2 linked regions of the Oryzias latipes genome follow. The protein of the gene in region 1 interacts with the protein of each later gene in a biochemical or structural test. Links are inferred from orthologs where the notes say so. Each region holds a gene or a part of one and is shown in the gene's direction. Other genes may lie near its edges.

Region 1 (4,245 bases):
CTGGTCTCAAAGACTGTTTGATAGGAGCTTTTATGCTCTCCATGCTGGGTTCTATAAAGACGGTTGGAGATCATTGCCATTTATTTGCTTTTTTATACAAACAACATATTTTAAAGCAACGTCATTTTACATAGAGTGTTTGGTAATTAATTTGACGTGCCACACAGCATACCTACTATTCATGTTTTTCCACAAGTTTATTTTTTTAACCTATTAAAACATAACACACAGTGGCTGCAGGTGAATTTTTCTAGCAGAAATTGAAAGATATACGACCAAGATATTAGAGAAAGAGTAAAGATAAAATTATCTAGGTCTGCATCTGAACACATCAACATTTTTTGTATTTTTCAGCACAGATCTGAAGGAATTGAATGACTGATTTCCCACATATGCTCCTCCTCTACTCAGCTTTCCAGGTTTATTGAATCACATTTCAATTTCTGAAACATCCATGGTGAAAAAAAGTTGAACATGACAATCAGGATGGAAAAAATCTAGAAGACGAAAGAGGTAAAGCCATAAAAAACAACCATAGAAAAGATCTGAATTTGTAGTGTCACAGAAGAAAATTATAGCCAAATAGGTGACTCTTTTGTAATTGGATGCTCATATTTAGAAGAGAATGATGTGTAAACTGATCAGAAATGGACAGTAAAGAATGACATTTTCTACTCTGCATGTTTCAAAGTTCAAATGTTTCTACCCAACTAATCTGGAAATATGTTGCTAAAGCAAAAGAGGTGACAGTTTTCACGCTCAAGAATATTTTCAGAGTAAACTCTGGAATGTCATTCCTGACATGGAGTTTAGCTGAAAAAGTAAGAATTCATCTTCCAAGTGTATTTAGGACTTCTAGGAAAATTTACAAGTGGAACTAATATAAAAAAAGCAAGACCTGAAGAAGTAATGAGAACTTATGCAGGTGAGCATTTGTCTGGGACAAACGGATGAAAAGTCACAAAATGAAACAACACACTGAAGCACACAATCCTCATTACAATAAGGAAGGACGTAACCATTTTGACTCCGCCCCTTTATTTTAAAATTTGATGTTCTGATTATAGTGTCATCCAGTTAAAATAATGGAATTAATTTATTAATAATCAGTTTTATTTAACAGCTGCTTTTAGAAACTACATAGTTAACAATAAATCACTAAAAATATAAATTTTAAACTCTATATTTCTGTACACAAAGGTGAGAAAAGTCTTGTGTAAAAAACTGCAGGGATGAACAGGAAGTTATAAAATTGTTGACAATAATTTCTCATTCTGCTTTCTCATTCACGCTCATGGCGAACTGACCACGCCCTCACAGCAGGATGACGGCGCATTCCCACTGACTGACTCCGCCCTCACAGGATTCTGGCTCCGCCCTCACGGCATAAAGCTTCATCTGTATGTGGACAGCGGCTAGTTAGCTAACAGCATCGACCGAAACCTGAAGAGGGGCAATTATATCAGGCCGGGGTTATCCACCTGGCGTTCGCAATTAGTCAATTCCCGAGGGGACACGGATATTTCAGAACCGAACCAAAAGAAAGGAGTTCCTGAGGAACGTAGCCAGTTTTCGTGAAGTCTTGGCCGCATACGTAGTTTTAACCTGCTATCATATCAGCTAGCTTAAGCAGACAGGCCGTGGAGCTGAGCCAGCGTGAATTATCTAATCGAAGCGGTCATCCTGGAACATCACAGCCCGCCTTTGTGCTCACTTTCTGTATCAACAATACGAAAACCCCAAACACGGAGGGAGGATGGCCCTTAAAAGGATCCACAAGGTAAGAGAACGGCGGAACTGCGTGCTAACGGTGTTAGCTTTCCATGCTAGCCTCCCTAACTATTCTCCGTCAAGGCTAACGAGGAAGTGTCGCTTCGAGGTTCAGGTGTGGAGCTCTGCTCGGCTTGATGGCGGTTATAGTTTTCAGTCCAGATACTTGTGTGTCAGAAATGTGTTACAACCGGCTGACGCGCAGCTCGCCAGCCAGCCAGCTATCATTAAATCATTAGCAGTTTCGATTTTCGACCTAACCTCTCTGTTGGGGCTGACGTCTGTCAGGGCCGACCGGTCTCGGTCGTTGTTTTTGCGTTCGGTTCTCCGTGATTCACACCTGACCAAGCCGGCCAGGGCCCACGTCACGATTAGCCTCGTCGCGCGTGTGCGCGCCCGGCTGAGTTAACTCCGGCCCGGATGGGAACCGGGCAGCCCCGGAAACCGGCAGGCCGCCCGCAACTTGCCGGTGTCTGGAAGCCTCTATGAGGAAAGGCCGGGGTGGGGCCCGGCTCATCCGCTCCAAAATAGACGGTCACCTAAAAATAAACATTATATGGACGGGCTGTATGTTTGCTGTGGATATAAAAACTGGGCTGTGCGGGCCCGTCCGGGGGAGGGGGTATGGGGGTAACCTTAACCAGGGAGGACGTTGTTCCTCACATACTCGGTGTTTGGAGATGTTGACGTTCGTCAGACTCTAGTATCTTCATGACTGACTGAAGCTCCTCTCCTGACAGGAACTGAATGACCTGGCTCGTGACCCCCCAGCTCAGTGCTCTGCTGGCCCGGTGGGAGATGACAGTAAGTGATCCGAACACACTGATGTAAATCTGAAAACCACATATGTTAGTGGATGCCGTGAACAGGAAACAGCGTTCCTGGCAGGCTGTGACAGTCACAGTGACCTGTAAGCTTCTTTATAATGCTTCATTTTTGTCCTTGCAGTGTTTCACTGGCAGGCTACCATCATGGGACCTGTGAGTACATTTTGACCTTCCCGTCATGTTATGGTGGTGGGGGGGGGGGTCTCACTTTCTTCATATAACGGCAAATGTTTATGCTTGGATCTGTCAGTCCTTAACTCGGTTTAAACTTCTCCTTGCAGAGTGACAGTCCATATCAGGGAGGTGTTTTCTTCCTGACAATTCATTTTCCAACAGACTACCCCTTCAAACCCCCAAAGGTGAGCTGCTATGACGGGTGTCTTCTGTGCGTTTCCATAGTAATGAGTTAAGACAGGATGTGGTGCTGCCTTTTGATTTAGACAAAGCGTTTGATTTCGGAACAAAGTGAAACTGTAATTCTTTTTTTTTCCTGTTTACATCATCTGCCGGTCCAGCCTGTTCTGTCGCAGGATCTGCGTTGCATAACTCAGATTTTTGTTGCGTCTCTCCCTCAGGTGGCATTCACAACAAGAATTTACCACCCAAATATTAACAGTAATGGCAGTATCTGTCTGGATATTCTCAGATCACAGTGGTCTCCTGCACTTACTATTTCTAAAGGTAGGAAGCTGTAGTTTGACGTTTAATAATTAACTAATGTCTTTTAATGTTGTGGAAGAAGTTTGCCTTCCGATGTCAAACTGAGTTTCCGTAAACTTTTCTCTTGTAGTTCTTCTCTCCATTTGCTCACTCCTATGTGACCCAAACCCCGATGACCCATTAGTGCCAGAGATTGCACGGATCTACAAAACAGATGGTCAGAAGTGAGTAAAAGCCGTCCTTTTGCATGTGACAAGACCCTGATCCCACCTTTTTTGGTTGATCCATGTGCGTGGATTTCACTTTGTTAGGTACAATAAACTAGCTCAGGAGTGGACGGCAAAGTATGCCATGCTGTAGGGTAAGCCTAGTGCTGCATCTTGACTGGTATCTCTTTCTCACCTTGGCAAAGATCTAACTGTTGCACTAATCTGTGTGCACACAACCAGTGTACTCGGTCAGATTCAGTCTCCCTTTTGTACCCCAGCTTCAGATTTGATCTGATTTTCTTCAGACGTTCTGAATGTGACGAGTTTGACGGGAAATGAACTGTATGCATGACAGTGAAAAAGTGGTTCAATTTGACGTGTCCTGCTAAGTAGCTTTTGGGGTCAGGCACAAATGTGTCTGGTGTGGTTAAAGTCCCACTTTGATCATCTTTTGATCTATTTTCAAAGCATTCTCACTGGTCTTTTAAATATGACTATTGCTAATGCAGAGCAACCCCCCCCCCCCCCATTACTGAGAGCTCCCCGTTTACGTGTTCTCCCCCTAGCTTAAAGTCCCTCACAGCCCCAAGCTAACATTAGCAGTGCAACAAAAATGTTGAGCAATATTGAAGCTATCTAGTGGTACAGTTTTTAGCCAGATGCCAGCTCAGACGAGGAAACAGGTTTTTTTAATCCTGTCTTTATTCACAAGGTTTGAATAGCTTAATTTATGTAATGTCCTCCATCAGAAAACCTCCGATAGAACGTATTAAAAACAC
Region 2 (3,650 bases), on another chromosome or scaffold:
TTGGTCAACAACGTGAATGCGTCCAAATGCTTGGTCAACAACGTGAATGCGTCCATCCTATTGGTCAACACCGTGAATTTGTCCAAATAATTGGTCAACAACGTGAATGTTTCTATCCGATTGGTCAACAACGTGAATGCGTCCATCCGATTGGTCAACAACGTGAATGCGTCCAATGATTGGTCAACAACGTGAATGCGTCAAATGATTGGTCAACAACGTGAATGCGTCCAAATGCTTGGTCAACAACGTGAATGTGTCCATCCGATTGGTCAACAATGTGAATGCGTCCAAATGCTTGGTCAACAACGTGAATGTGTCCATCCGATTGGTCAACAACGTAAATGCGCCAATGATTGGTCAACAACGTGAATGCGTCCAAATGCTTGGTCAACAACGTGAATGTGTCCATCCGATTGGTCAACAACGTGGATGCGTCCAAATTTTTGGTCAACAACGTGAATGCGTCCAAATGATTGGTCAACAACGTGAATGCATCCGAATGATTGGTCAACAACGTGAATGCGTCCATCCTATTGGTCAACACCGTGAATTTGTCCAAATAATTGGTCAACAACGTGAATGTGTCTATCCGATTGGTCAACAACGTGAATGTGTCTATCCGATTGGTCAACAACGTGAATGTGTCTATCCGATTGGTCAACAACGTGAATGCGTCCATCGATTGTCAAACGCATGAAGGGATTTATTTGATTCTTTAAATACTTCAAGCTGCCATTGTGCACGTTTAAGGTAACCATTAATCGCAATTTCTGCAGACTTTCGCGATATGCGTATTGCACAGCTTGATATCGTGAAAATGATCCTTTTTTTTTCACTTGAAAAGTCATTCAACCACAATGCATTGTGGTGTATATTTGCAAATGTAGATGGTGTCCAAATTCCTTCATGAAGCACTACTCGATGCACTATATAGGGCGTTCCACTTTTTTTATTGGTGGGGGATTCCGAATGTACAGTTCCAAATTTCAGTGCCCTGGAATTTCTTTCTACGAGAAATTAGTAGGCATCGATGTTACAAGATTGGCCAACGTAAACTACAGTGCAACGCTTCTTTGTTTGTAGAGAAAATGTTTCAATTTTATTTTTATAAACTGTTCATGTTTTCATCACCGTGGATTAAAATCTTTTTCAAGGTCGTGTCACACAGCCGAGTACTTTTTGAGCATTTTCCTCGTATGAAATGTTGTTCTTTCTCGCCTTCGTCGTTTGTCGATATGCATAGGTGTCCGTCGAGGGTTTCAGCTGATGGATCATTACGTGAATTTGGTTTTGAGTTTAAAATTTTGAGAATTATACAGTTTGTGCCTGTTGTACACACAATTATTACATAAACTATAATTGTGCTTGATTTTCGCAAGATGCATACACAAATCTGTGTCTTTCAACGACTGTTTATCTTATGTCTAACATACTTTTTATGCATGAACCACCGTTGTATAACTTTTATATCACCAGTGACCAGTTTTCATCCGGGCTATATCAATGTACATAGTGGCTGTGGGACACAGGCTTTAATTGTTCATATTTATTTATGAGGTTCTTGCTTCTGGAAATCGGTGATGTCATAATAATAATAATAGTCAGCGTGGAGTCTGAATTGCTGTTTAAAACTTCTAGATAGTTTTTAAGTGATAGCGGAGAAATCTTCCCACAACAGAGAAAACACTTCCCAACTAGCTAGCGACATGAACATCAGTGAATTTAGAGGCGGCCCTTCTTGGTGCTTTCCTTTATGACAAGACACGAATATGGACATTAACGTCTGGACAACGTTGAGTTATTGTTCTGGCTGTCCACTATTTCAAGAGTTACTGTATCGTGATTGCACCAACTTGTTTTGGGAGTGAACCGAGCTGTCAGAATGTTGGTTTGTATTCTATTCGTAAAGTTTGACAAACTGACTTTTCTGACTTTTTCGTTGACCTTCCCTTTAGCGCAGCATCATCTAGTGCAGTGGTCCCCAACCTTTTTGTTACCGCGGACCGGTACAACGCAAGACACGTTTACCGCGGGGGGGGGGGTTTGAGGCACGTTTACCGCTGCCTATTAAAGGCAGATTTCCCTCTTTTAGGGGGTGCAGGTTCCTCTTCTGTCCCTTCATTGGACCGTTTCCCCTTGTCAAAGCAACTTTCTAAAGAAGTTTGTTTTTTTGCTCATTTTGTTTTTTTGTGTTTAATTTTAGCGGGGTGTATCACGTGATGTTTGGTGTCGCGACTTTGACGTGCGTTAAGTGTGACGGATGTAACAGAGAGAATCCGGTCACTTTTCAAAATAAAACGTTTTTTTCTCTCGAAAAAAAGCAATAAAATGGAAATTATTTTTTCTTTCTGTGCGTCCCGGTGCCAAGTGTCCCGCGGCCCGGTACCGGTCCATTGGTGCCACTACACCAATTTCTGTTCTATGCGACTGTTTTTAACAGTTTTAAAATAGGCCATTCTTTGATGGTGCGGAAAAATACAGTAGAACAAAAGCATTTGTGTGAATCCAAACCTGTAGTAAAAGTTGCAGAGAGTCTCTCAGTGCAAACACAAACTGTGATGTGTGTTTGTGTGAGTGTGCAGATCGCCAACACGAACCCCCTGGTGTCGGAGAGACAGGAGCTGTCGGTGCTGCAGAAAGAATATGCGGAGGACGACATGGTTTATCAGCTCAAGATCAAGGTCGGTGGGCTCACGCATCTCCGCCTCCGTCTTCGCTCTCCTTACATTCGGTTTACTAATGTTCCAACTGCCGCATAGATTTTAAAATTACGCCCTTTGATGTCGTCGCAGGATCTCCACAAAAAGTACTCTCATATTCGGAAGACACGGCCTGACGGAAACTGTTTCTACAGGGCCTTTGGTTTTGCACACCTCGAATCCCTGTTAGAAGACAGCAAAGAGCTTCAGAGGTTAGTGTTTTCTAAAGGACCGGTTCTGTCTCATTGGGTTCATGATGTGCTGCGTTCTCACCAAACGACAAGTTCCAAATTGGCTGCTGGACGTCTTTCCAGAAATGGGTTAATAAAGGTGACGGTCGCGCCATGTCCTGCCGATCTGACAGTTTGCATATTGCCCTGACAAAATTCACCTGTGCGGGTCAGAGAGGAGAGGCCTGCCCTCTAATTAGAGTGCCATCAGTTGTAGAAAAAAGGAGACCTAAAACGACAAAGACAGAGGATATGGGAGTCAGAGAGGAGGTAACTGAAAGAGGCTCCAACTCTCAACCCCGCTTCCACAACCTGAAAGACCGACATCGTTTCAGTGGAAGCCCGATTGGATGCAGCATCCACCAAACATCTGCTCCAAACCTGGATCCAATTTGCTGCACAACAAACCGGACCAAGAAACAAAAACTCTTCAAAGAAAACACTGAACTTATCTTCTAAAACAAGAAAGACTGTTGGACCGGACTCCCTGTAAAAGGGACTGGATACAGGAAACAACGGCCCCAGAAACCCGGGACGGATTTCTAAGGAGTACCTGGACCGACATTTTAGATAGATGGATGGATAGATAGATAGATAGAATTTATTCCAGACTCATGCTCCAATCAGTAAAAAGGAGTACACAGACCCACTACATTTAAAACAAATACACAGTGTCAAGAATACACAAGTTGAGGTACAGTGTATAGTTACAGTTAAT

The links.
Region 2: the proteins of ubiquitin-conjugating enzyme E2 D2 (region 1) and otub1 form a complex in vitro, tested with the Homo sapiens proteins (4 studies listed by BioGRID, with this or other methods). The link is inferred for Oryzias latipes from reciprocal best matches to the Homo sapiens genes UBE2D2 and OTUB1.

What each region holds. Positions count from the first base shown.
Region 1 is NC_019880.2:25,335,801-25,340,045, forward strand, and holds the start of ubiquitin-conjugating enzyme E2 D2, read left to right. Parts: upstream 1-1,366; 5' UTR 1,367-1,756; coding exon 1,757-1,780; intron 1,781-2,510; coding exon 2,511-2,574; intron 2,575-2,718; coding exon 2,719-2,750; intron 2,751-2,878; coding exon 2,879-2,956; intron 2,957-3,172; coding exon 3,173-3,278; intron 3,279-3,387; coding exon 3,388-3,481; intron 3,482-3,568; coding exon 3,569-3,617; 3' UTR 3,618-3,618; intron 3,619-4,245.
Region 2 is NC_019876.2:28,617,500-28,621,149, reverse strand, and holds part of otub1 (ubiquitin thioesterase OTUB1), read left to right. Parts: intron 1-2,585; coding exon 2,586-2,684; intron 2,685-2,795; coding exon 2,796-2,914; intron 2,915-3,650. UniProt on the Homo sapiens protein: Hydrolase that can specifically remove 'Lys-48'-linked conjugated ubiquitin from proteins and plays an important regulatory role at the level of protein turnover by preventing degradation.